4 linked regions of the Elephas maximus indicus genome follow. The protein of the gene in region 3 purifies or fractionates together with the protein of the main gene of each other region. This does not show direct contact. Links are inferred from orthologs where the notes say so. Each region holds a gene or a part of one and is shown on either strand. Other genes may lie near its edges. The genes, in order: FLNB, HERC5, ISG15 and ENO1.

Region 1 (7,366 bases), on a different chromosome or scaffold from region 3:
GGTCAATGGAACACACTTAGGACAGTGCCCAGCACCACTGGGTGCCCCAAAATTGGAGTATTGCCACAGTCAGCACAGTGCAATATGACATAAGAAGTCAATACATAAACTGAAGTCCAAGTTGGATGTGACTTTTTGAAGGGCCATCACCAAGAACATTCCAGGAGTACAGGGAGGAGGCCTCAGACATTACCCCTGCAGGAGTTCTGCCATTTGGCAAGTCTCCCTCCGGGTCTCCAAGATGCTGGAAAATCTGTTTGCTGTGAGATCTTTCTGGAGAGCAACTAGGTAGTCAATAACAGAAGTCATAAACATGGTCACACCCTTTGCCCCAAGAATGCCACTTTGGGGAATAAGGTCAAAGAAATAATTATAATTATAAAGGAAAAAAACAAATAAAACAATGTAACTTGTGGTGGGTCCACAGCAAAAAGCTGCCAACAGCCCACGTGGCGGGGGGCCGAGGAGAGGCTGACACTGGAATGTCAAGACAATGGGAGACACTAAGACCTGGGTTGGTTCAGGAATGAAAACCATGAGGACCATGCAGAAAAATGCAAGGGACCAAATAAAGTCCAAAATGAGACCTACAAGCTTCAGGCATGATGTGAATCTAAGCTAGAGCCTCTGCAAACAGTTGGCGAAATTAGGCAATCTGGGATTTTCTGGTGGTGTGGGTTTTTTTTTTTTTCCCCCTCATTTTTTTAAAAGAGATTTCAAGTCATGGTTTGCTTTCTTTCTTCAGTTAATTAAATAAATACACATTTTTAAAACAAAGAAGAAAGGATCTAAATTGAGCCTGGCCAGGCCTTGAGATTCCTCAGAAGGAGGGTGGTTCCTGGAAAAGAAGGAATTCCAGGAGAATTCTGAGGCTAACTCTCCCCAAGAGAGGAGACGGGCCCTCAAAAAGAAGACAATAGCACCCCACGAAGCTCCCCTCTGCAGAGAAGGGCGGGGTGGCCATGGGGGGTGGAGAAGCCCTGTTGGGAGCCCAGCTGGGAGGCCAGACCAACAGGGCAGGTGGCAGCCATCTGGGCCCAGGAAACAGGAAGAAGCCCTACCCGCCAAGACAGGTGTGGGGGAAGGAAGGCGAGGGCGGGGCCCAGGGAAGGCCAGCCTAGAGGGAACTCCTTTCTGGCAGGAGAAAGTCCCAGCAGCCACGCCCACTTCTCTTCCTAGCATTGGGGTAACTTCTTTCGAAGAGACCCCAGGCCCAGGCCTGGAGGAGGAGGTACAGCCGCTCCCTGACAGGCCTCAATTGACAAAACATAGGTAGAGTGTACATGCGCACACAATCTCTCTGCACATAAGCACTGCACACTCAGCCGTGTACATCCGCACACTTTCTTTTGGTGCGTGCACGCGGGCGCGCGCACACACGCAGCACACACCCTTCCCCCTGCCGTCACAGCCCACTTCGTCAGCAGCCTTGCCATCCTCCTGGAAGGCCCCAACTGCCCCAGGTCATGAGGGAGGCCTCACCCTACCCCCGCTTCTTCTTCTACAGCGGAGGGGGAGAGGAACCCAGACACCAACACCTCCCTCCTCTCAGGAAGACCCTGGTGTGGGGAGGGCGGAGAGGAACGAGAAGCCTCCTTCTAACTGTCGCCCACTTCCTTCAATTCTCAGCTGGGTTCTCGCTACATGGGTGACCCTAGGCACGTCAGTTAAGTCCCTGACGCCCTTATCTGAACAGACGGTCTAAAGAGACCCCAGCCCTCACGATGTCTAAGGATGGAAATCATTTTGAAGGCTGTTAGCACAGAACGGGGCTAGTTTGGGCTCCGTACACCGCAGCAGTCACCATTATCTCCACCACCTCTCAATTACAACTTCAGCCTCGGAGAGCGGGCTCACCCGGGGCTGCGCGGGGCCACAGCCGAGCCGCGAGCAGAGAGAGCCAGAAGGGACACACCCCCACGGCTCTCCTTCCAATCTCGGGACCCACACCCATTCCGGGGACGGCGGGGAGGGTACCAGGGCCCGTCTCCACCTGGGCTGGGAGACCCCAGGCGCAGAGAACGGTTCCTCCCCAGGTCTCCCTCGCCCCCCGGCCTTCGCGCCAACGCCCATTCCGCTGCCGCCAAGCGCACTGGCCTGGGCGCAGCGGGGAGAGCGCTCCGCGGAGCATCTGACTAGCGCCTCGCCCCCGGGGAAGGCGGACGAAGGGGTTTCCAGTCCCCCAACTCCCTCAGGGACGCCCCAGGCGCGAAGAAATGCCACTTTCCCACCACTCCCCCTGCAGCCCCACCCCAAGCCCTCAACCCACAAGCAGCCTAGGCGCACCGCCGGGGCGCATGGCGGGGAGCGGGCACATGAAGGAGGTCCCAGCCCCGGAGACGGTATCGGGGAAGGGGCCTAGGGCCTACGCCCCCATCGCCGGGGGCCGACTCCTCTCGCCTTCGCGCCCACACCCAGCCCGCGGCCGCTGGGTGTGGTGGGGGCGCGCTCTGGGGAGCCCCTGCCAGCGGCGGGGGCGCACGCGCGGGGCCCGGATGGTACCCCGGGCCGCAGCCTGGCCGGGTCAGGGTGCTCACCGATGGACACGAGCTTGATGCTCTCCCGGTCCAGGAACTCCAGCGCCACCGACACATTCTCGAGCTGCATCTGGCGGAAGGTGGGCCGCTGGTGGTACTTGCGGTACATGCGCTTCTGGCTGAGCACCTCCAGCAGCGCGATGAGCCGCAGCCCGTCGCTCAGGTCTGTCTGCAGGTTCCCGATGCGTTTGTTCACGCACTTGAGGTGCTCGTTGCACCAGCGCGTGAACGTGTTCTGCTGGATCTTCTTCCACGGTGCGTCCTCCGCCAGGTCCTTCTCGGTTACCGGCATCCTGGCGGCGGGAGGAGGGATAGGACGCGGAGAGCTGCAGGGAACTGGTGTCGGGAGGCCCAGGGGTCGGGGGAGCGCGAACTAAAGCCGGTGCGGGAGCGGGGATCGAACTCACTGCTGCTACCGGAGCCGCGGCCGGGGTTGCTCTGCGCCGTCTGCCCCTGGCCGCAAGAGGCCCCTGGCCCCGCGCCTGCGCGCTAAGCCGCCCCGCCCCCCGAAGCCCCGCCCCGTCCTCGGGCGGGAGTTCCCGGGCCGCGCTCGCCCCCTGCTGCCCATAGTGGGCACTGCGCCCCGTTCCGAGTCGTCCTGGTAACCCTCATTTCGCGCTCAGGCAGGATTCCTGGCCAAGGGGCTTAGGGCTCCTTAAGGAGAACGGCAACTGGCTCTGGGTGGTGGGAAGGCAGGGGGCTGGACAGGATGGGCGGGGACCGTGGTGTCGGTCATGGGGGAGGTGCCGGTGGAGAGGGGCTTTTCATCCATCTATAGATTTAATAAGAGTTTTTATTGAGCTCTTGTGTGTGCCAGGCACCATGTTAGGGACTGGGAGACGTCGTGAGGGAAACACATTTTGTTATATGAGTTATAATCATATGAGTTATAATATTATCAATAGCATTTATTGAATGCCGACGGTCTGGTAGGTCCTCTCTTCTCAGCACGTATCGCCCAGTGGTCATCAAGGCAGGCTTGTTCCCTAACTTCGGAAGAGAAGAAGGAGTCAGCAATCACAGCTAGTGGTAGTAGTAATACACGCACACACACACACAAATTTATTATCTTACGGTTCTTTAGGTTAGATGCCCCTCACATGACTCACTGAGCTGAAATCATGTTGGCTAGGTGTATTCCTTTCTAGAGGCCTTAGGGTGGAATCTGTTTCCTTGCCTTTTCCAGCTTCCAGAGGCCACCCACGTGCCTTGGCTTGTGGCACCTTTCTCCATCAGCAAAGCCAGCAACCTCAGCCCGAGTCCTCATGCTGCCATCTCTCTGGATCTCCATAAAAAAAAAAAAAAAAAAAAAAAAAATTTTTTTTTTTTTTAGCCACGCTTTATGCTCACTCTTAAAAAAAAAAAAAAAAACCTTGTGATTACACAGAACCCTTGGGTAGTGAGAACAGTTATTGCACTCAGCTGCTAACTGAAAGGTGTTTTGTCCCAGAGGCACCTCGGAAGAAAGGCCTGGCGAGCTACTTCCAAAAAATGAGCTATTGAAAACCGTGGAGAGCACAGTTCTACTGTAACACACATGGGGCACCGTGAGTTGGGTCAACAAAAAGGCAACTGGTTATTGGGTATGGTTACATTGGGCTCACCCAGATGATCCAGGATAATCTCTCTATCTTAAAAGACAGCTGATCATCAAATTTAAGTCCATCAGCAACTTTAATTCCCCTTTGCCATATAAGGTAACATATTAACAGCTTCCTGGATTAGGACATGGACATCCTTGAGGGGCCATTGTTCTGTCTGCCACATCATGCACTGAGTACTTTCTCTTGTACTCATCCAGGCTCTGAGTTACATGCTGGAATACAGCCGAGACCCAGGCCAGGCCTCTGCTGTCAACAGCTTGAATAACTATTTGTACTTATTACGCACCTACTGTGTACCTGTGCTAGGCACTATGTAAGCAATTTCCATGCCCTTGACCCCATTTGACAAGAGGAAACTGAGTGGTTGGTACAGGGCCCCACAGCACAGTTAGAACTAGAATCAAGCCTGTAAGACTTGCAAGATTCAGTCTCTTGTGGGAGGGGAGAGAGAGAGGCATAGGGTGCCCTGGGACCAGAGAAGTGGCACCTAATCCAGGCTTAGGCGAAGGGGATCAGGGCAGGCAGGCTTCCTGGAGGAAGAGGGGTTGACCAGGACAGAGATCAAGAGCTTCTAATCCTGGGGGCTGCCCAGGAGAGGCCAGCAGATTGTGGGTGAACGCATACAACACTGAAGTGCTTTGCTTGGAAAGATCGCCTTGCTCGCTGGATGTGCTCACAACCGGCTGGGGGTGAGAGTGTGTATTACCTGGCCCTGGCCCGTAGCAGGGTCTCCATAAATATTTGAATGCTCATTTCCTTCATTAGAGATTAGGTGAAGAGGTTTGCTGGAGCTCAGCTGGTAAAGACCAGACAAAATAGGATTTGAACCTGGATCTGACTCCAAAGTATTCTGCCTGAGGGTCCCATGCTGCCCCCCAGCCTGGGACTTGCCTTTGTCCACACAATGGGCTCCCTGAACAGTGAATTCACTAGAGGCAGATGGTAACCTTTGCCTTCCCTGTGCCCAAGGTTCCCAGTGCCTCATGCGTTCCTCCACCCAAACTCATCCATCAAAACTTATCGGCCAGTGTCTCACTCCCTTAGGGACCTCCTCCCTGCTAGGTGAGACTGAAGCTAATGTCATCGACTCAGCCCACTCAGCAGCTGCTAATGTGCTAAGTTTCTCCTTTCTTCTGTTTCTGTTTTACTATGCCTTGGCTCAACTAATAAGCCCTGCATGTAAATATCCAGTCTACTTCACTCTGAGCTGAGACAGCCCTGTCCTGGGACAGACCAGGTGATTCTCATCACACTACTGAAAGAAGCCCAGGAGTTCTCTACCAGTTACCGGTTGCCATTCAGTCGATGCTGACTCAGGGTGACCTCCTGTGTGTGAGAGTAGAACTGAGCTCCATGGGGTTTTCAGTGGCTGATTTTTTGGAAGTAGATGGCCAAGCCTTTCTTTCGAGGTGCCTCTGGTTAGCAGTTGAGTGCTTTAACTGTTTGTACTGCCCAGGGACTCCAGGAGTTCTCTAAAAACCCAAACCCAAAGCTGTTGCTGTCGAATAGATTCTGACTCATAGCGACCCAATAGGACAGAGTAGAACTGCCCCATAGTGTTTTCAAGGAGCGTCTGGTGGATTCGAACTGCCAGCCTTTTGGTTAGCGGCCAAGTTCTTAACCACTGTGCCACTAGGGCTCCAGAAGTTCTCTCTAGAGTGATTTTTAGGAGGGGGGGGCTCAACAGCCAGGGTGGAGGGGTGGCCAGTGGCTTTAGAAATGAGGGAAAATGCAGACAGATCTTCAGATGACTCTTTATCAATATTTGAAAAGAAATGAGGCCCCAAAACCTCAACGCAGCATTTCTGCAGAGAGCATTTTAGCGGGTGCTTTCCAGGCCTCCCATTCATACTCGTGGTCACAGGTTTCCCTGGTCTCTTGGTGGAACCCCTGAGAGTAGAAGGGAGTAGAAGTGGAAGCACAGACTCTGGCCCCTCATTCGCACATGCGAGTCACGGTAAGAGTTTTGGGCTGAAGTGCAGTTGCCGTTTGCTGTGGTCAATTGCTGAAGAAGGGCAAGGCTCCTGTCCTGTCATCTCTGTCCCTTTGCAGCATCCAGCCTGGAGTTTAAGACCTTAAACAATTTCTTTTATAGGAACAAGCACAAAGCTATTCCTATGAGGTACAGGTTAAAGATGTCCCAAATGTCCAACTTCTCCAAGCTGCTGTGCCACTCCATCATCTCTAACATCAACTACTCCCCCCCACCCCCAGCACTCTCCCTCCTGTCTTTGGGCTCCCTAATTCACTGCAATGTCTCACAGAACACATGAACCGTATTTACGGTTAAGTGATTTGTTAGGGAGGTAAGAGGGTACAACTCAGGATCGGAATCAACTTGGAAGTAACAAGAATAACAACTCAGGACACAGTTCCTCAAATAGGACAGCTTCTCGCCCTCTGCCGCCAAGCCCTGCAGGGGCCTTCTGGGGCAAGTACTACACCTCTTAGCTCCATGGGTCTGCAAGCCCCATCGCAGCCGTCTCAGGCGGATCTCCTGGTTCCTGCCATCTCACGCCCCTGCCTCTCCATGTTTTCCATGTTACAGCTCCCTCCATCTGTCTCCTGGGTCTAGGAGGCTCTCAGCGCAGGGATCCCTGGTCCAAAGGACATGTTCCAACCTTGTCTCTTCTCCTTGGTGGTAATTAGGTCCCCCTCTGCTCTGGGATTAGCTCTTTTTTTAAGCCTAGTGGGATGGCAAAACTGACTAATCCCCTTGTTAGGGTTCCATCCACCTTATTTGTGTGGTTCCACCCCCACAAGGGTGTTATGCACCTTATTTGCATTATTAGCAAGCTGTCCGATCCTCTTGGTGGGCCACAAGCACCTCATTTGCATAGTTCCACCCAGCCATTTAGTGGGAGTTACAAAGGCTATGGGTAGAAAGGCCACGTGAAGTAATTCACTGCACTGCAGACCTGGTGGAGCCTTTGCTGTTCAACAGAAATATAATGAAAGCCACACACATAATTTTAAATTTTCTAGTAGCCAAATCAAAAACAGAAGTAAAAAGGAGCAGGCGAACTTAATCACAATAATATCTTGTAAGACAATATTATGGTGACCTGCTGTGGGTTGAATTGTCTCCCCAGAAAAGATACGCTGGAGTCCTGACCCCTAAAAAAAAAACCCAGTGCCATCGAGTCGATTCCTGACCCCTGGTACCTGTGAATAGGACTTTATTTTGAAATAGAGTCTTTGCACATGGAATCAATTTGAGGTCCT
Region 2 (7,200 bases), on a different chromosome or scaffold from region 3:
AAGTAAGACAAATGACCAATAAAAAAATGAAAAGATGCTCGATTGCACTCAAAATGCAAAACAAATAACAGGAAGATTCCATTTTTTCAAAGATGCCAATTAAGCAAATTTCAAAGATTAAGAATGTGGGTGTTCACATACTTTTGTGGTTACGAGGGGGGAGGGAGGGAGGGTGGGTGGGAGAGGGTTTTTTACTGATTAATTCGTAGGTAAGAACTGCTTTAGGTGAAGGGAAGGACAATACTCAATACATGGAAGGTCAGCTCAACTGGACTGGACCAAAAGCAAAGAAGTTTCCGGGATAAAAATGAATGCTTCAAAGGTCAGCAGAGCAAGGGCGGGGGTTTGGGGACCATGGTTTAAGGGGACTTCTAAGTCAATTGGCAAAATAATTCTATTATAAAAACATTCTGCATCCCACTTTGAAATGTGGCGTCTGGGGTCTTAAATGCTAACAAGCGACCATCTAAGATGCATCAATTGGTCTCAACCCACCTGGAGCAAAGGAGAATGAAGAACACCAAGGTCACACGACAACTAAGAGCCCAAGAGACAGAAAGGGCCACATGAACCAGAGACCTACATCATCCTGAGACCAGAAGAACTAGTTGGTGCCCGGCCACAATCGATGACTGCCCTGACAAGGAGCACAACAGAGAACCCCTGAGGTAGTAGGAGATCAGTGGGATGCAGACCCCAAATTCTCATAAAAAGACCATACTTAATGGTCTGACTGAGACTAGAGGAATCCCTGCGTTCATGGTCCCCAAACCTTCTGCTGACAGGACAGGAACCATCGCCAAAGACAACTCATCAGACATGAAAGGGACTGGTCAGTGGGTAGGTGAGAGATGCTGATGAAGAGTGAGCTAATTATATCAAGGGATCACTTGAGACTGTGTTGGCATCTCCTGTCTGGAGAGGGGATGGGAGGATAGAGAGAGTTGGAAGCTGGCAAAATTGTCACGAAAGGAGAGACTGGAAGGGCTGACTCATTAGGGGGGAGACCAAGTGGGAGTACGGAGTAAGGTGTATATAAACTTACATGTGACAGTCTGACTTGATTTGTAAACATTCACTTGAAGCTCAATAAACATTAATATTAAAAAAATGTGGGTGTTGTACATGCACGGTCAATTGATTTTAGACAAGGGTGGTAAGTCCATCCAATGGGGAAAGAATTTTCTCTTTAATAAATGGTGCTAGGACAACCAGATTTCCACAAGCGAAACAAAGAACCTGGACCCATGCCTCACCCCATATACAAAAACTAACTCAAAATGTATCAAAGACCTAAATGTGAGAACTGAAACCATAAAACTCTTAGAAGAAAGCAGGTGTTTACTTTCTCTCATCTGTAAAGTTGGAGCCCTGGTGGTTTAAGAGCCAAAAGGTCAGCAGCACAAATCCATCGGCCCCCAGCCACTCCTTGGAAACCCTACGGGGCGGTCTACTCTGTCCTATTGGGCAGCTACGAGTCCGAATTGACTCGAGGCAAGGTTTTGGTTTCGTTTACCTGTAAAATCAGGAAACTCTGGTGGCGCAGTGGTTAAGTAATCAAAAGATCAGCTGGTCGAACTCTCCAGCTCCTCTGAGGGAGGAAGATGTAGAGGTCTGCTTCCTAAAGCCTTGGAAACCCTATGGGGCAGTTCTACTGTCCTATAGGGTCGCTATCAGTTGGAATCCCCTCAAGGCACACAACTACCTGTAAAATCGAACCACAGTACCTGACTTTATCTCTGCTGACAGGGGATTTCGAGAGGTGCAACTGAAAGCACTCTTTAAATTGCTCGCAAATGTAATATAATTGAGAACAAGTTAACTATATTCTCCAAAGGCTCACGAAATCCATGCAGGTATGTCCTAAGAAGGAGTGACCAAACCCGTTGCGTCGAGTCGATTCCGACTTTTGCAACCCTACAGGACAGAGTAGAACTTCCCCAGAGTTTCCAAGGAGCGCCTGAAGGATTTGAACTGCTGACCTTTCGGTTAGCAGCCATAGCATTTAACCACTATGCCACCAGAGTTTCCGAGTAAGGAGGTGGGGAGCTCTAAAAAGAAACATTATACAAGAACACTGGCCAAGAAAAGATGAAGATGCTGCCTGCATACTCCCTCCGCACCTCATCAACTTACAGGTGGGACGATCTATTTCTCGGCAACTTTCTGCAAACTGCGCAAACTGGGAACAGGGATAAAGGAGAGTTCAGGTGCACTGCACTTGCGAAACGGGACAATGGCTGAAGCCCGGCAAGTTTCTGTGGCAGCCGAGGACCGCTGTAGCGCCTGGTCCCCTTCGGAGCGCTCATTCCCGCTCAGAGAACAGGACCGCACACTCCAACTCTGGACGCTTATAAAAAGGAGGGTCCGCGCCGGCCCCAGCCCAGGCAGACGCTGAGGCACCGGCCCTCAGCCGCCCACCCTGCACACCCCGACCCGAGGCTGGAAGGCCGAGCGGCGCTGGCCGCCCCACTCACTGGGCTTCCCGGCGCTGTGGCTCCCCACCGGCAGCTGGTGAACCTCGACGCCGGCCCCGCCGTGCTCCAGCACCGCCAGCCGGTCCTGCGTGCAGCAGATCTGGCGCGTCTTCTTGCACCTCCCTGACAACGCTTGGCTGAGGCCTGCCGAGCTGGGGAAGAGCCAAAGCTGCGCGCCCCTCGGGTCCGAAAAGGCTGCGGAGCTGCGCGCGCCGGGGCGTGATGCGGGTTTCGGCTTGGGCGCTGGGCGCTCGGGGCCCCGCGACCTCCTTCGTGGCATCCGCTTCATCGCACCCGGCGCTGCTCTCCCGGGCTCCAGAAACGCCCCCCGGCTCTCTAGACCCTGAGGGGAAACGGAGCTGCAGCCGCCAACCCGCCACAGGGAAGGGCAAGACGAACAACGTCTGCGTCCGACCGCTGCCTCCAGGCGTCGCGTTGCACAGCAGGAGTGTGCGGGCGACGTCGAGGGACTGCAGGCTTCTACTTCCTCTCTGCTCAGATGCCGGGCTTTTAAGTTGCTGTTTGGGGGCGGGGCCTCAATTCAAGTGAAACGAAACTGATTTTGTTTTCAAGAGTACGGAAAACGAAAGGGAAACTCAAATGATTTCAGAACTGGCTTGGAAGGCGACCGAAGTAAACAAACCCGTGGCGGGTTATGAAATGGGTGAACAGGAGTGAGAAGCTCTCCTCGGGCGAGCAGAGGTTACCTAAATTTCTGGACTGAATGGCCTTGAAAGAAACACTGCAATTCCACTTGGAGGCCATTTTCCAAAGAATATTGTGATAACGAATTTAAAGTTTGTTAAGCATTGTATTCCAGGTTCAAGCCACAGGATAGCGGTAAGAGAGTTACCAGGCAGTGGCGCCAGTGATCTGCTTTCTGTCAAAACAGATTTTTTTTTTAATTGTTTGATTTTTTATTGTAATAAATTTATACATAACAAATCATTTGCCATATCAGCATTCTTCAGTTGTACAATTCAGTGCTATGAATTGCCATTATCTGTGTCCAAATTTTCCTATCACCTTTAACAGAAACTCAGTATCCTCTAAACGGTGAGTCCCTCTATTCTCCTCCCCCGCCCCAACCTCTAACAAACTTGGGTCTCTATACACTTGCTTCGACGGTTTTCCAGAATTTCATATACATGGAATTATACAGTATGTAGTCTTTTGTGTCTGGCTTTGTTCACTTAGCATAATGCTTTTGAGATTCATACTTTTTTTTTTAATTAGTACATTCCTCTAGTTATTACTGAGTGATATTCCATTATATGGTGTGGCTTAATAATCTGGCGCTGCTCTAACAGAAATACCACAAGTGGATAGCTTTAACAAACAGAAATTTATTATCTCACAGTTAACGAGTCTCAAGTCCAAATGCAGGGCACCAGCTCTAGGGGTCTTGGCTCCGGGGGAAATCCTTGTCTCTTCAGCTTGTTTCATGGTTCACCTGAGTATCTCCGTATGGCTTGGCATCTATCTTCTCCCACCTGTGCTTGCTAAAGTTTGCTTGTTTAATCTCTTTTATATCTCAAAAGAGATTGACTCAAAATACTCCCTATACTAATCCTGCCTCATTAACATAACAAAGACAGCCTATTCCCAAATGCGATTATAACCACAGGCATGGAGGTTAGGATTTACGACGCGTATTTTGGGAGGGGGACACAATTCAATCTGTAACATTCCACCCTTCACCCCTCCAAATTCATGTCCTTGCCATCATTACATCATCCCAAAAGTCTTAAATCAACTCCAAGTCCAGAACCTCATCTTCTGAATCATCTAAATCAAATATTGGTATATTCCATCCTGTGGCAAAATTCCTCTTCATCTGTGAACCTGTGAAATCTAGGCTATAAGTTATCTGTCTCCAAAGTACAATGGCGGAACGGGCACAAGGCAGACATTTCCAATACAAATGGGAGAAATTGGAGGGAAAGAAAGAATATGTTGCCTCCAAAATTCAAAGAGGCCTACCAGGCATTGTGCCTCCTTTTTGGTCATAGGAGGGGCCAGATATAACAACTTATCCTTCACTTTAGACGGACTATCTCGACATGCCCGGTACCACTGGACTCCTAGAAATTTCACTACGGTGGAAAGTGCCTGAATTTTTGTGGGATTAATTCCCCACCCTCTAGCATACAAATGTTTTACCATTAAGTCCAGAGTCATTGACACTTCTTCCTTACTAGGTCCAATCAGCACAATGTCATCAATGTAATTGACCAGTGTGACACCTTGTGGAAAGGAAAGGCGATCAAGGTGCTTATGGACTAAAATATGACGGAGCTGGAGAGTTGCTATACCCGAGGCGCTAATCTCTGAAACCCCTCCAGGAATGTGGTACTGCTTTTGGTTTACAATTTTCCTAGGTAGGGCAGTTCTAATGGCTCTCTTTTGGCTTTTCCAACCATAATAGCCCTTACTCCCCTTATCAGGGATCCAATATGGAGGTTCTTCCTGTTGCTGAGTGTATTTCTGTTATACATTCTGAAACTGGGAAAATTGCTACAGGATGGATTCAGAGACCCACTGAACCCACTGTGAGATGAACCTGAGTGAAGACTCCAATAATAACAACCTGACCTCCATACACCCCCCGCTCTGACTGGTGGGCCACAGTGATGTTTTGGTCTCCTGGGATTAGTATCGGTTCAGAGCCAGTATCCAATAATCCCTGAAAAGTCTGATTGTTTCCTTTTCCCCAATAAACAGTCACTCTCATAAAAGGCCATAGATGCCTTTGGGGAAGGTTGGGAGAAAGATTAACAATATTGGCTGATTTGATTGACCCCGAGCTGGCTCAATGATTAATTTGGGTTTTTTTTTTTTTTTTTTGGTTACTAAGAGGAAATTGGATTGATGTTGCATAATAGAGGTAAAGAAGAGTATGTCTGGAATACAGGAGATCCTTTAGGACATCTCTTAGTACTACCACACCCTGTGATTAAAGTCAATGGAAAACTATGGCAACCCCATTCCAACATGACTACTAATGGCCCAGACCCTTCAGGAATGAAGGTTTGGGTCATCTCACCAGGCAAAGAACCACGACTGGTTGAGGTGCTTGCTGAGGGCAAAGGGAATACGGAATGGGTGGTAGAAGACGGTAGTTGTAAATACCAGTTGCGACCACATGGCCAGTTGCACTATCATTATTGTTATGAGTATTTCTTCCTTGTTTTATTATATGTGTACATATATATATATACACATGTATATATAGCAATTATTTTTGCTTTCTTTCCTCTCTTATAAAATAGAAGATGTAAACAGGGCTAGTGTGTTTTCTATTGTACTCATGTTAGTTGCATCACATTAGGTGCAAGTATGGCTTTGTAATTGTCTTTATTTAGAGATTGTATGGAAACCCTGGTGGCGTAGTGGTTAAGTGCTACGGCTGCCAACCAAAGGGTCAGCAGTTCAAATCCGCCAGGCGCTCCTTGGAAACTCTATGGGGCAGTTCTGCTCTGTCCTCTAGGGTTGCTATGAGTCGGAATCGACTCGATCGCGCTGAGTTTTTGTTAGTGAGAGATTGTATATGGCTTAAGGAGATGTGTACAGGTACCAAATTGACAAGGGGTGGACTGTGGTGGTTAAGGTTGTATGTCAATTTGGCTGGGCCATGACTCTTACTGGTTTGGTGGTTATGTAATGATGTAGTCATCCTCCATGACATGATCTGATGTGATCTGCCAATCAGTTGTAAGGGGAGTTTCCTTGGAGGTATGCCCTGCATCCAATATACATATGGACTTTCTGGCAAAACTCACTTGCCTGCTCTGGATCCTGCATCTGACTCTTCATCCTCTAACCTCTGGTTCTTGGGATGTGAGCTAGCAGCCTGCTGCCTGAGCTGCAAATCTTGGAATTCATCAGCTCCCACAACCCCGTGAGTCAACAGACTTCCACCTGACCTGCAGCTCTTGGGATTCATCAGCTTCCACAGCCCTGTGAGCCAGCCTGCCATCTGACTGCCAAATCTGGGATTCATCAGCTTCTACAGCCCTGTGGACCAACAGTTTATCATCCAATCTGCCAATCTTGGGTTCGTCAGGCCCTGCAACCATGAGAATCAGGAGAAGGCTCCAGCCTTTTGCCTGACTCATGGATTTGGGAATTACCAGTCTCCACAGCCATGTGCTTTATCTCCCTGAGATAAATCTCTCTATACATATTTATATATACGCCTCTCCGGGTTTGCTTCTTTAGAGAACCCAGCTGAAGACATATGGATATAACATAATTTGTTTATTCATTCACCAGTTTTTTGTTTGTTCATTCACCAGTTTTTGGCTACAATGAATAGAGCTGCTATGAATATTTGTGAACAAGTCCTCAAGTGGACATTTTTATTTCTTTTGAATAAATGCCTAGAAATGGAATTGCTGTGTCATATGGTAGAAACCAAGACTGTTGCCTGTGAGTCTGACTCACAGAGACCCCATGTATTATAGAGTATAGGGTTTTCTTGGCAAAAGTGAAAGGATTTCACAAGGCCTTTCTCCTACTGCATGACTGAGTTCGAACTACCAAACATTAGGTTAGTGTTTTTGTTGTTAGGTGCCGTCAAGTCAGTTCTGATTCACAACAACCCTATGTATAAGAAAATGAAACACTGCGCCGTCTTTTAGGTTAGTAGTCTAGTGAAAACCATTTGCGCTACCCAGGGACCTGGTCATACGGTGAGTATATGAATACTGTTATAAGAAAC
Region 3 (5,575 bases):
TTCTGGAGCTGCCCAGGGAGGGGTACTGGCTCCACTGGGCAGCTCGGCCTTCATCAAACCCCTGCCCAGACCTTTCCCCAGACTAATGCAAGTAGGACAAGGCAGGCTGGTCAGTTCTGGGGTGCCAAGAGACCCTCAGCCCCAGTTGGTGTGGGCCTCCCTCCCTCACAACCACCAGGATACGTCCTGGGGACCCACCACCACACCTTCCCAGGTGGGGGGCAGCTGTGCAGGGCTGGAGAACACTCACCTGCATGGGCTCCAACAAAGTTTCCTCCTTTTGTTTCTCTAAAGTTAATTTGCGTGTGCCGACATGTCTTACTTCAATTTCTTCACTATTTTGAGCCCACCAAGCTCTCAGTGTGAAACCTTTGTCCTTTAACCCAGAGCCTTGTTGGTAACCCTGGCCTGGTCACCCCCAGCGACCCTGGGTCCCCTCCCCCCACAGTCTCCTGCTTTTCCCCAGCAGCGGTGGGGAGAATAGGGGCAGACAGACGCAGGGGCAAGACAGAGCAGGAGGCCAACAGTTCATTTTGCATCAATTTTTATTACTGGCACGGGAAGCCCGCAGGTCTTGGAGTGGGCACCCCAGGTATCTCCTCCTCCAGTCCCCTCAGGAGGGCAGAAAACTCAGCGTCCCCTGGGGCCTCTTCAGCCTCCCCGAAGCCGCAGATTCATGTACACTGTGCACCTGGGGGTAAGGCCATAGTCCCCCAATAGCTTCTGTTCATCCAGGGACCTCCCCTCAAAGGTCAGCCAGAAGAGGTCAGCCTGCACCCTCTCCTGCTGGCACACTTGCTGCTTAAGCTGGGCCACAGTGTCGGTCAGCCGGACCTCATAGGCAACGCTTCTGCCCTTGTCATTGCGCACCAGGATGCTCAGGGGCTCGCAGCTGTCCACTATCAGCAGGACCATGCTGCCAGGGCCCAGGCTCTGGTCCATGAGGGGCACTCCGTCCTGTAGCACTGTGCCATTTGAATGGGCCAGCCGCAGCTGGAAGGTAGGCACGCCTATCTCCTTCGAGACCCGCTGCTTCAGCTCCGACAACAGCATGGAGGCCGTCACGGGCACCAAGATCTCCTGGCCACTCAGCATCTTCACCTTCAGGTTGAAGCCCTGCATGGCATCAAGTGGCTCAGGAAGCAGCCTGGTGCTGTCCCAGGGCAAGCTCCTAGAACCCAGGGCCACTGCCCCTCCTCTCACTTTTCTCCACCCACCAGGCAAGGAACCCCAGGGATGGGGGCCATGGAAGGGAGGCATTGCCAGAAGGAGGGCTGGTCTCCCTGCCATCCTGCCCCTTCCCTTGCTAAGATGCCCCGCTCTATGCTCTACTCCCAGGGAATCCAGGGTTGGCGTCTGGGACAAACCCTCCTTTTAAGATCCAAATTCTGGCTTCACCAGGAGCCTGTCCCTCCTCACACTGGGATGCAACCTCTGATAGCCTCAGAGCATCTTGTACCCAGCAGGTTCCCACCCCCGGGAGGCCCCACAGTAAGGAAGAGTTCAGAGAAGCAGCTGGTACTGAACCCACCTGCCTCCCACCTTCAAACCCGCCTTACCATGGCTGTGGGTTCTGGTGCTAGGTGCTCCGTAGCCACAGAGAAGTTTGTTGCCTCTTGGCTCCCACTTCCCCTGGCCCTACATCCTCTGCCTTTTATGGGCCTGAACAGCACACGTCATGGGGCGGCATCAAGGGAGAGGAGCCGGCCAGAGGCTGCCTTCAGATTCAGTTTCAGTTTCCTTTTCCCAACCCATGCCCCTGAGTGAGCGGCAGAAACAAAACAGAAAGGCCGGGGAAAATACGGTACAGGGAAAGAGCTGAGTTCCCAGGCTCAGAAGCATCCCTCCCCACCTCCACTGCCATCCCTACCCCATGCCCCATCCTGCCCCATCCCCTAGAGTATGCATTCAGAAACTCCCTAGATGTCCAGCACTTCAGGTCCCTTACAAGATGCACAAATGTCAAAACAGTGTGAACTAATGACTAGAAATTTTCATTTTCAGTTTACCAATTTGTAAATTCGTAGCACATTGCCTTGCTTAATTCAGAAACAACATAAAACAGTGACAATCCAAACTACCCAGATTACCACCATTGATTTAGGATAAGAGCTGTTCAGACCCTTCTTTAATGAACAGATGTATGTTATATTTTCTACAAAAAAAAAAAAAAAATCAACTCATGGACACTATCAAGAAAGTGAAAAAAGAACGTACACAATGGAAGAAAATATTTTTGAATTATGTATCTGATAAGGAATTCATACCTAGAATATGCAAAGAACTCCTACAAGTCAACAACAAAAAAGCAAGCAACCCAATTAAAAAATAGTCAGGCCACCAGACACCTTTTTAGCTCAGTAATGAAGTCGCTCCTGAGGTTCACCCTTCAGCCAAAGATTAAAAAAAAAAAAAAAATTTTTTTTTTTTGTAATCTTTGGCAAAGATTAGACAGGCCATAAAACAAACAAGACTAAAGGGGCACACCAGCCCTGGCTCAACGACTAGAAGGCAGGAGTGGGCAGGAAAGCTGGTAATAGGGAATCCAAGGTCAAGAAGGAAAAGTGTTGACATGTCATGGGGTGGTAACCAACGTCACAAAACAATATGTATACTAACTCTTTAATGAGAAGCTAGGTTGTTCTGTAAACCTTCATCTAAAGTACAATGAAAAAAACAAACAAAAAAAGTGGGCAAAGGACTTGAATAGACCTTTCTCCAAAGAAGATGTAGTAGTGGCCAATAAGCACATGAAAAGGTGCTCAGCATCATGAGTCAGAGAAATGCAACACAAAACCACAATGAGGCACCACTTCACACTCACTAGGATGGTTACGTTAAAAACAGAAAGAAAACAGAAATTAAGTAATGGTGAGGTTGTGGAGAGATTAGGAACCCCCTTACATTCCTGGTGGGAAAGTAAAATAGTGTAGCCTGTGAAAGAGTTTCCCCAAAGAAGTGAAACATACAATTACCGTATGACCCAGTGATTTTACTCCTAGATGCACACCCAAAAGAAATGAAAACAGGTGTTCAAACAAATACTTTTACATGCATGTTTACAGCCATACTATTTATAATAGCCAAAAGGTGGAAACCCCAGTGTCCATCAGTGAATAAATGGATAAACAAAATGTTGAATATTCTAAAAAGAAATGAAGTTCTGATACATTCTACAATGTAGATAAGCCTTAAAAACACTACACTAAGTGAAGGAAGCTAGATTGTTCTTTGATATTATTTGATTCTGTTTATGTGAAATATACAAACCCATTGCTGTTCAGTTGATCCCTGCTCCTAGCAACCCTATAAGACAAGGTAGAACTTTCCTATAGGGTTTCCAAGACTGTCATCTTTACAGAAGCAGATTGCCACATCTTTCTCCCATGGAGCGATTACTGGGTTCCAACCTCTACCCTATGGTTAGCAACTGAGAGCTTTAACCACTGAGCCACCAGGACATCTTATATGAAATAGCCATAATGGGTAAATCCACACAGACAGAAAGTGGATTAGGCTTTTTAGGGGCTGGGAGGAGGGGGTGTGACTGTAAACGTGTACAGGGCCTCCTTTGGGGTGCTGAGAAAGTTCTGGAACTAGATAGAGGTGAGGGCTGTACAACACTGTGAAAGTGCTAAATGTTACTGAATTGTACATTTTAAAATGATTAATGTTATGTGAATCTTACCTCAATAAAGGAAATGCTTGCAAAAAAAAAAAAGACTCCTTATTTCATAATTTGCTTTGGTCGTGAAACAGTGCATCATAAACATCTTTTCATAGTAATATATATTTATACAAGTTGTTTTAATGGCTGCATATGTTTTGATCAGAATAATGAATTCATTACAATATAGAGTGTAATTTAGTTAACCAATCCCCTATTCTTGGCTATTTAGGTTATGCTCAAATTTTTACTATTATGAATAGTACAGAACAGGCTTAAGTTAGCTAGAAATGATTTGTGAAGAGAAACACAAAATATGGGGGGAGAAGTGTTTTGAATATGAATCTGACTCCCTGCCCCCCCCCCAAAATCTCATGAAAAATCTCATGGGACACCAAAATTATTAACATGCAAGAAACAAATGGCGATGCCTAATTTCCTTCTTTTTGTTATTTTAGGTTTATATCTTGATTTTCTTCTTGCATAAATGATATTGGTATTGCAAAAAGAAAACCACACACTTTTATTGAAACAAAGAATGCAGAAGGTAAAAATCCTCCTGAGTCCCCCCTCCGGTGAGCATCCTTAAACCTGATGTGCCTGTCCCCTGATTTCTGAGTGCTGGCATATACACTAAAATGTTCATTTTTTTTTAGCTCTGTTAGCCCATGTCTTCCAATCTCCTTCCTGCTTTTGACAGGAGGAGCAAACTCAAAGGCATTAAGGAGACAAACTCACAGAACAGTTGACCCCCCAACAAGTGGGCCTGAGAGAGAGCTAGAGTGAGAGCTCTGCCTGCACAAAGACTCTCAGTGACCCCAGGACCCTGTGTCCTTCCCCCCTCCCAGGGCTCCTCACAGAAGTGACTGTGTGTCTTCCCCCTGGAAAGCTAGCCTGCCAGATACGTGCACATGCATACATACTCACACACAGCCCCTTGCCTCCTCCCGTGCAAACCCTGCGGTGCTGCCCTTCCAAACAGTGGCCTTGGTCAGTGATGTCCTCTCAATTTCCCTCCTACCCCCTTGCCCTCCTGCCTGCTCCCCTCTCCATGGGTCTGGCTGACCAGAGACCCTCAAGGGTCATTCTTCGACCAAATACTGACTGAGGGTCTGTCTTAGTCATCTAGGGCTGCTATAACAAAGAGAAGTTTATTTTCTCACAGTCTAGGATTTTTTTTTTTTTTTTTAGGAGGCCAGAAGTCCAAATTCAGGGCATTAGCTCCAGGGGAAGACTTTCTCTCTCTGTTGGCTTTGGAGGAAGGTCCTTGTCATTAATCTTTCCCTGGTCGAGGAGCTTCTCAGCACAGGGACCTCAAGTCCAAAGGACAAGCTATACTCCTGGTGCTTATTTTGTCGGTGGTGTGAGGTCCCCATGTCTCTCTGCTCGCTTCTTTCTTTTATATCTCAAAAGAGATTGGCTTAAGATACAATCTAATCTTGTAGATCTCATCAACATAACTGCCGGTAATCCATCTCATTTACATCAAAGTGACAGGATTTACAACACACAGGGAAATCACATCAGATGACAAAACGGTGGACAATCACACAATACCAGGAATCATGGCCTAGCCAAATTTTGGGGGACACAATTCAATCCAAGACAGGGCCTAAAAGATGGGGAACAAGGCTGGCACCACACCAAGAAATGGGTCTGACTTTGTTTCATCCAACTCTGCCTAATTCAGCTCTTTCCAGGATCATGCGAAACCTTCAACCCCATTAAAGAAATAGTTCTTGCTTCCTGTGCAGAGTGATTCTCAGCTGGGTGAGCAGCAGAGAGGCCAGAAGTAGGCCAGATGACAAGCCAGCCTCTTCCTAGGACCCCGGGGACCAGGCTGAGCCTTCTCATGACGTTGTCTCACAGGGGTCGACCTTATGCTGGTGTTGGTCTCTCGCAGTTGAG
Region 4 (7,481 bases), about 8.7 Mb from region 3:
TCTCAATCCCCGGGTCCTCTTGACTCTGTCCTCCTTAATCTCTTCATTTGTGCACACCTGACAAATGCCGACCTCACATGACTTTGTTTAAAAACTATACCGCGTCCTCCCACCTGTCTCCCTGAATGTATGCTGTGTTTCTAGGGTAGCCTTGCCCAAACCCTGCTTCCTACAGCTGACTTTGTCATCTTTGAAGAAGGCACAAGAGTGGGCTGTTGATAGTAGGAAGTCCTAAGAGGTGCCCCAAAGCCATAGTAGAGTGTTGACTAGGATTTACAGAGAGAAAAAATAAGTTTTTTTTTTTTTTTTTTTTAAGTGAAGGACTCAGAAAGGGTGGTAAATTGATAATCGGAGGGGGCTTAATCTGTAGAAAAAAAACTGCAAGGAAAGAGCTGAATTTGATATTTTGTTTTCAAACTGGGTCAGAACTCATATGCTGCTGGTTGGACTACACAGATATACAAACACTTTAGAAAATAAAGGTGAAGAAGCGTATACCCTATGACCCAGCAGTTCCACATCTAGGCATTGTTGTTTTTGTTGTTAGATACCATTGGGTTGGTTCTGACTGATAGTGACCCCACACAAAACAGAACAAAACACTGCCTGGTCCTATGCCATCCTCACAATTGTTGCTATCTATGCTTGAGCCCATTGTTGGAGCCACTGTGTCAATCCATCTTGTCAAGGGTTTTCCTGTTTTTTACTGAGCCTCTACTTTACCAAGCATGATGTCTTTCTCCAGGGACTGATCCCTCCTGATAACATATCCAAAGCATAGGCCCTAGAAAAACACTTGCATCTGTGCTCAGGACACATTTGCAACCAAGTTCGTAGCAGCATTATTCACATTATAAAGGGAGAAAAAAAAGTGGATACAACCCAAATATATGTTGACAGGAGAATATGTAATATTCACACAATGGACTGCTATGCAGTACTGACAAAGAACCACCTACACTTCCACACCTATGGGGTCAACATGGACTGATCCCACAAACATCAAGTTAAGCAAAATAACTAGCAAAAGACTATACGCAGTGTGATGCCATTTATATAAAGTTCAAAAAACGATTAAAAAAAAAAGCCATAAAGAAAAGCAAGGGAATAATAAACACAAAACTTAGGTTAGTGGTTATCAAGAGGGATACACAGGGGGCCTTAACAGCACTGCTAATGTTCCATTTCTGAAGCTAGTGGTGTGTCCACAGACATTCATTTATTATCCATGAGTCGGAATGGACTCAATGGCAACTCACAACAAAACATATAATCCTTACATAGTCTTTGGTATATATAAAATATTTAATGATAAAAAAACAAACATGAAAACCTCATGGCCTATTATGAGGAGGGACATAGATGCCTCTGAGGGCCTTCTGTATGTATCTGATCTCTTACCTCCCTGGACCCCTCATCCTACTCTGAAGTTTGGAGAGCTGCTTTCAGAAACAGTATGTCCCTTTCTCCATAAACCAGCGTTTTCCAACCAGTGGTGCACATACCACAGATGGAATCAATAATCCAGATGGGTCCTTGTTGTTAGCTGCAGTGGAGTTGACTCCAACTTGGTGGCATCACTAGGGTGCAGGGGGTACAGACCACACTGGTGACACTTTCAGAGGGGGTGACACCAAAATGACTTGCCTATAAAATTTTTGTGCAGTGTTTCAGCAGAAATTTATTTTTATTTTTTAAAAAATCCTGTAGTTAGTTGTAACAAAAGCATTTTTCATAAGACCAGCTTAACCCACTCCCACTGCCATCAAGTCGATTCCAACTCATAGCAACCCTACATCTATCAATATACCTACAAGGCTAAAGCTCTATGCAGATTTACTTTTTGAACCTTCTAATGCGCACCAGTCAAGGTTGTCACTGTTATGCAATTACAATGACACCTCGAATGATGTGATTTTGCCAGCTACGAGCACGCAATGTTGTTTTCTTTGCTGCCAGTGTTTTTACAGTTGTTGATTTTGTCAAATTTGCCGGTGTTTTAGCTACAATATTGTGGTATTATTTGTGAATCTATATCTATAACTTTTTTGACAATGAAGTAATTAAAAAGAAAAAAAGGCTTCCTTTCAGTTACTAATAATGTTATCACTAATAATGTTTTAATTCGATGTAGAAAGGCTACAAAATAATTTTGTTGTTAGTACTCACATAATCTAAGAAATTTTATAATTAAGCACTTTACAAACTATATTTATCACATATTATCTTATGATTAAAACTGAGGTCCACGGGGGTTGGGGGCGACACCATGAGTTACTGTACTGGGTAACACCACTGTTCCACAAGGTCTTCAAGGCTGTAAGTTTTCGGACCTTGATTTGTAAGCTTTCACTTAAAGTGCAATAAAATTAAAAAAAAAAAACCTCCAACCTTTTTGCTAGCAGTCAAGTGCTTAACCATTTGCACCATTGAGGGCCTCAGGTGGGTCATAGGCTGCTGCAGATTCACCTGCCCTCCATCCAAGCGCTACCTGCAGATCTCCTGCAAGACGGCCTGCATCGCTTCAGGTATGGTATGCTGATAGTAACCTGAGCACCACCAGCAAGGCGAGTGCCCTTGATATGCCACGCAATAAAATTGCTCAACAACCTCACTTTAAAGGGCATCTCCAATAATCATTAATGTTTGAACTACAATTTGAGGTTCAAGTGCTGGCTCATAATGGTGAGCTGTGGGCTCCAAGAATCTTGCAACAGCAGCTGACTCAGATCATGTTCTGCATTTGGCTTCCTGCTAGATTCACTGGTTCTGGCCAGCCAGCAGTTATGAGGGCCTTGATTATCTTTATCTCTAACAACGTTGGTGTAAAGTAAAAGGGATTGTTTGGAGCCCTTTCAGGGCCACGCCTTAGAATTACTCTGAAAATAAGAGCTCTAAATGTCTGATTTCCTTGGAGCCCTTACAAGGCTTGAGAGATGTTGGCTGTGATGTAACTGCTGAGTCATGGGACTCAGATACCGGTTTCCAGCAGCCAAAAACGGCAGTGGTGAAATCACGAACATTGCTTGCAAAATTCATATAATTCTTTAGCGAACCATGTTACAATCTCCATGTTGTGTTTTTGCTGAATTTAATCTTAAAATTTTTGTTTCTTAGTCAATGGAAAACAAATACTGTGGACCCCATAGGCCTTCATCTTTCCAATGCTTTGAAAACCTAAGCTTGACAAGAAAGATGCTAGGAGTTAAGGACGAAAAGCAGTTTTAAGAGCTAATCAGAAGAAATACTAAATTCAATACACATTTGAATCTTTCTATGCAAGGCAATATGGGAAATATGGAAATCTATTACATTGTTTAAGACCTCACACTCACAAACCAGGAGGGCCATGGAGAAAATACAAAAATAACTGTATTAGAACACGAAGTGACCACTCAGCCCCTCCTTGGGGTGGGGGATGTGTTGCAGAGCTGACTTCTTAATGGTCTATCAGATCTTGATCACAATGGCAAAGTCACTGCACCTACCAATTGTTTCTTATTTGCTGGACCACTGTGGAATATTGCTTACTGTTCTGTACTTTAAGAAATTCCTCTCCCAAATCATTACATTTATAGTTCGCACGAATCCCTCGAATTCCATAGATAATGGAAAGGGAGGGATACGAAGTCTCCAGTTAAAGGTGAAATAGTAACAGGCACTAGTGTATGAATTAACACTGGGGAAGCATGTGGAGATGTGCCTGGCACAGAGTAAGAATACTTGGTTAAGTATTGGCTATAATTTATGGAAGACGAACCTTCCTTTCAGCTACCTTGCCTGATCCTCAATGTCAAGCCGGCGTGGCAAGGTGAATGGGGCAGGGTCACCTTGGGCTTGACACGCGGGTGCCTGACCTCGTTGGGCACGCGCACAGCGCACTGCGCGCTGGCGCAGGCAGGCACACGTGGCCTCCTGGACTCAACGTGGCAGACTTCGCCGCGGTCAGGTCCAGGTCGTGGGGGTCGTGCGCCCCGCGCGGTCGCTCAACGCTTCAACTCCCGGGCACCGAGTTCCGGGGCGGGGGAGGCCCGGGAGGCAGGCCGGGAAAGGGTGCGCCGCGAAGGTCGTCACCAAGGTCGTAGCCAAACGTGCGGCCCGGAGCAGGAGCTACGCCGAGTGCGTGCGAGACTCGGAGTACGTGCCGGCGCCCCGAGCCCTCATGCCCGCCGCGCCACCCTGCCCCTCCCAGGCCCCGGCTCCCCAGGTCCCTGTTCTCCTCAGGGGTCCCCACGGGGAGCGGGGCTCGCCAGGATCCCCGTATAGCCACTAGGGAGTCAGGTCCCCAGTGTCCCTAACCCAGCCCTGCGACCCCAAGTCATCGCCCCCAGATCGAGATCGGTGCGGCAGCCGCAGCCCCGCCCCTTCCCGGGAGGCGAGGACCTGAGTGGCGGAGCGCTTAGCCAATGGCGAGGCGGCGCGGACGGGGCCGGCCCCGGAGGCGGGCACTGGGCGGTGCCTCCTAGGCGGGCAGGAAGTAGGGCGAGGCGGCGAGCAGAGGATCCCGGGGAGTTAGCGAGGTCGCACGCAGTTGGCCTAACGCTCGTCTTGGTGTCTGCAGCACTCTCCGCTTCCTTCCTGCGCCACGAGAACCGGCGGCTAGGTAAGGACTCCTGCCAAGGGAGCGCTCGTGCAGGTGGCGTGTGGGTTTTCCTCGACCGAGCTTGTGGGAGCTCCCTCCCCGCAGGGACGTGGCGTGCGGTGGGTTCGGGCGCGGACGGGACCGATGGGGACATGCGCGCCGACTTCCCGCCTCGCTCTCCGGCGAGTGTGTCTGGGCACTCCGCAGATTGAGTTCGGGCCGCTCCCGGATGCGCTCGGAGGCCTGCGGTGTGCCCTGGCAGGACCCAGTGCCCTTCCTGCGGCCCAGGGGCGCGGGTGCGGCGCTAGGCGCACGTGTAGGGCGCCAGGTTTCTTTGTAGGGGAAGATGCTGATCAGCACGTGATTACGGAGTGAAAGGCCAGATAACTGTACTCGGAGAGTCCGGACTAGAACACGCAAACCATTTAGGATATCTGGCGTCGTGGGTGGAAGGCGCTTCTCTATGAGTAGCCAAATGGAAGGTTTTTGGGGAGGGATACAGACTTTGCGCGGGTGATAATTAAAACCAGACCCTTTTTAAAATGGAGGAAGGGACGGGGGGAGATGCCCAGAAAGCTGCAGTTCCTCTTCTCCCCACCAGTAGCCCAAGCGTCCCACTAGTGCCTCAGGGCCTGCAGCTCGGCGCCTGGGTGTCCAGCCAGCCATCGCCGCAAAGGCTTATATAATTTCTAGAAGGTGCTTCTTGAGGAAACTGCAACAGTTCCGGTGGATAATGGGGACGCCCTTAGGCGACCTCGCCCGAGTCAGGCGAGTACCCTGCGCCTCTCCCCGACTTACTCCCTGGAGGGGCCCTCGTGTGGCATAAAAAGATTTTATTTTTTATTTTATTTTTTAAAGCTGCCTGTTTCCTCCACACTGGTCTTGACTCCTGGGAGGTGTGGTCTGTTGGTTGACTTGCTCCAGGTCACTGCCCCGTCCACTTGTTTTGCGCCTGATAACGGGATTCAGTCCAGACAGAAGTGATCACGAGCCGGTTTGCTGTCTCCCTGCTCGCTGAACTTTAATTACTTCGGAGAATGATTTTTCTATAAATGTAAAGGTGTATTACATTTTATTTGCACCTCAAATTTTAAACAAATTTGCCCTTTTGGGTGATAGTATGTAGAAATTAGATACTTTTTTATTGGCTAGTGAATAAAGCTCCATTGTTACACAGAAGTGACTTGGGTATCAAATTTTGAAACTTACAGTAGATTAAAAAGATAGGATGCCAGTTGCTACTTCAGAACATTCCAGAGAAGATGTTAGAGGGAAACCCAGCTAGATAACGGTTTTTGAATAATAATTCATTTCTTCTCATCCACTTCACTTCAGGTTGAGTTAGTTTCTTCCTTAGAGAACTCCTGGGGGGGGGAAGTAAGAAAGGGGCTTTTGGGAGGACTTGCTATTTGCTCTTGGTAGCTGTGATTCCTTTTCTTTTTTAGGTGCGTTTTCAAAGGAAGCCCCTTCCATTGGCGTATGCTGGTGTTCAAAGACAATCTTTCTTCCATTTACAAATCATAACATTTCAGAATTGAGTTTTTTAAATGGGGTAAAATTCCCTTTGGGAGAAATACTAACTAGATGTCATTATTAATGTGTCCTATCTAAAGATGCGAATACTGGGAAATTCAAAAGGCCCAGAAAGTGGCAGTAACAAAGAGCACGGACCAAGGAGCTCATCGTTCCTGAGCACCAAACTCAAAATTGTAACTGGATATCAGTTGAATATTCTACTTCTTCCTCAAACACTGACCTTAATGAAATATGCCCCAAATTTTTAATTCAGTATTCCATTATAAGCTTGGTTTTCCTCCTGCATCCCTACCTTGTGGGGGGGGGGGGGGCCTGGCCTAGATGGTTTTTCTTGTGAGTTTCATGCCCTTTCTTCCTCTGCCCTTAGGTTTGGGCTTGGCCCTTTTCCGTTTCCATGCCAAGCCTCGTAAACTCTCGACAGTAACCAGTTTCAGACTCCTCTTAAGCCGTCCTGTATCCGCCACCACATTCATCTTTACAGGTGGTTTTGGTTTCTCCCTGGTGTGCACATGCTTTGGCCTTCTTTGTTCTGCTTACAGGACGAGACCTGAACTGCTGGTTTAGGGCCTTCCAAAGCTGGGGCCAACCTACCTTTTTAGGAGCAATTCCCATTACTTTGCAGCAGACTTGTTTCCACTTCACCTAGCCTTCCTACCTGCAGCATTTAGTCCAGTGCAGCCATCTTCTAGTCCAGGAAGCCTCGGAGGCAATCCCTTGAATGAATGAGTAATGAACACATTCTGGTTTATGGAAAATATGAACTGTGTTTCCCCTACAGAAACTCACCATGTCTATTCTCAAGATTCACGCCAGAGAGATCTTCGACTCCCGTGGAAATCCCACTGTTGAGGTTGATCTTTATACTGCAAAAGGTATGTGCCACTTGGATTCTGTGGTTCTTTAGTCACGCACCATCTTTAAAACCTACTTAAATTCATAGAGCATTAGACCAAAAAAAGCCTGTTGTGAAAACCTTTCTTGTGGTCTGTACATACTAGTCGGTTGTGATTCCTGACTTGGTGGGGAGCAGGTTATAAGGCAAGGAGTCCTTGACTCCTGGATGGCATTTAAAACAGAACATAGGTTGGCTCCTAGGTCAGTGGGGTAGGGAAGTAAGGTAGGGCCTTGTCCCTAAGAGGTCCCATCACTAGTTTGCTTCTCAGCTTTCTGTGACCAAATAAGCAAAAGTGGTTGTGATAGAATGATCTTCATCCCTTGATAAGGAAGGAGATTAGGGGAATGCAAGCAAGTGCAAATATAGCACTCTTAACTTTCTTTCCAGAAATCACCTTTAACCAAGGGTGGAGAACCCAGAGGCTCTTATTTTTACTGGGCTTTTTTTTTTTTTTTTTTTTCTTAAACC

Evidence for each region.
Region 1: the proteins of ISG15 (region 3) and FLNB purify together in Homo sapiens (affinity purification with mass spectrometry; 3 studies listed by BioGRID and IntAct, with this or other methods). This does not show direct contact. The link is inferred for Elephas maximus indicus from reciprocal best matches to the Homo sapiens genes ISG15 and FLNB.
Region 2: the proteins of ISG15 (region 3) and HERC5 purify together in Homo sapiens (affinity purification with western blotting; 3 studies listed by BioGRID, with this or other methods). This does not show direct contact. The link is inferred for Elephas maximus indicus from reciprocal best matches to the Homo sapiens genes ISG15 and HERC5.
Region 4: the proteins of ISG15 (region 3) and ENO1 purify together in Homo sapiens (affinity purification with mass spectrometry; 4 studies listed by BioGRID, with this or other methods). This does not show direct contact. The link is inferred for Elephas maximus indicus from reciprocal best matches to the Homo sapiens genes ISG15 and ENO1.

The regions. Positions count from the first base shown.
Region 1 is NC_064838.1:62,571,941-62,579,306, reverse strand, and holds the start of FLNB (filamin-B), read right to left. Parts: upstream 3,016-7,366; 5' UTR 2,830-3,015; coding exon 2,538-2,829; intron 1-2,537. UniProt on the Homo sapiens protein: Connects cell membrane constituents to the actin cytoskeleton. May promote orthogonal branching of actin filaments and links actin filaments to membrane glycoproteins. Anchors various transmembrane proteins to the actin cytoskeleton.
Region 2 is NC_064823.1:66,893,135-66,900,334, forward strand, and holds the start of HERC5 (E3 ISG15--protein ligase HERC5), read right to left. Parts: upstream 3,004-7,200; 5' UTR 2,767-3,003; coding exon 2,478-2,766; intron 1-2,477.
Region 3 is NC_064821.1:39,589,880-39,595,454, reverse strand, and holds ISG15 (ubiquitin-like protein ISG15), read right to left. Parts: upstream 1,660-5,575; 5' UTR 1,563-1,659; coding exon 1,560-1,562; intron 1,117-1,559; coding exon 652-1,116; 3' UTR 528-651; downstream 1-527.
Region 4 is NC_064821.1:48,284,432-48,291,912, reverse strand, and holds the start of ENO1 (alpha-enolase), read left to right. Parts: upstream 1-4,477; 5' UTR 4,478-4,603; intron 4,604-6,896; 5' UTR 6,897-6,905; coding exon 6,906-6,990; intron 6,991-7,481. UniProt on the Homo sapiens protein: Glycolytic enzyme the catalyzes the conversion of 2-phosphoglycerate to phosphoenolpyruvate. In addition to glycolysis, involved in various processes such as growth control, hypoxia tolerance and allergic responses.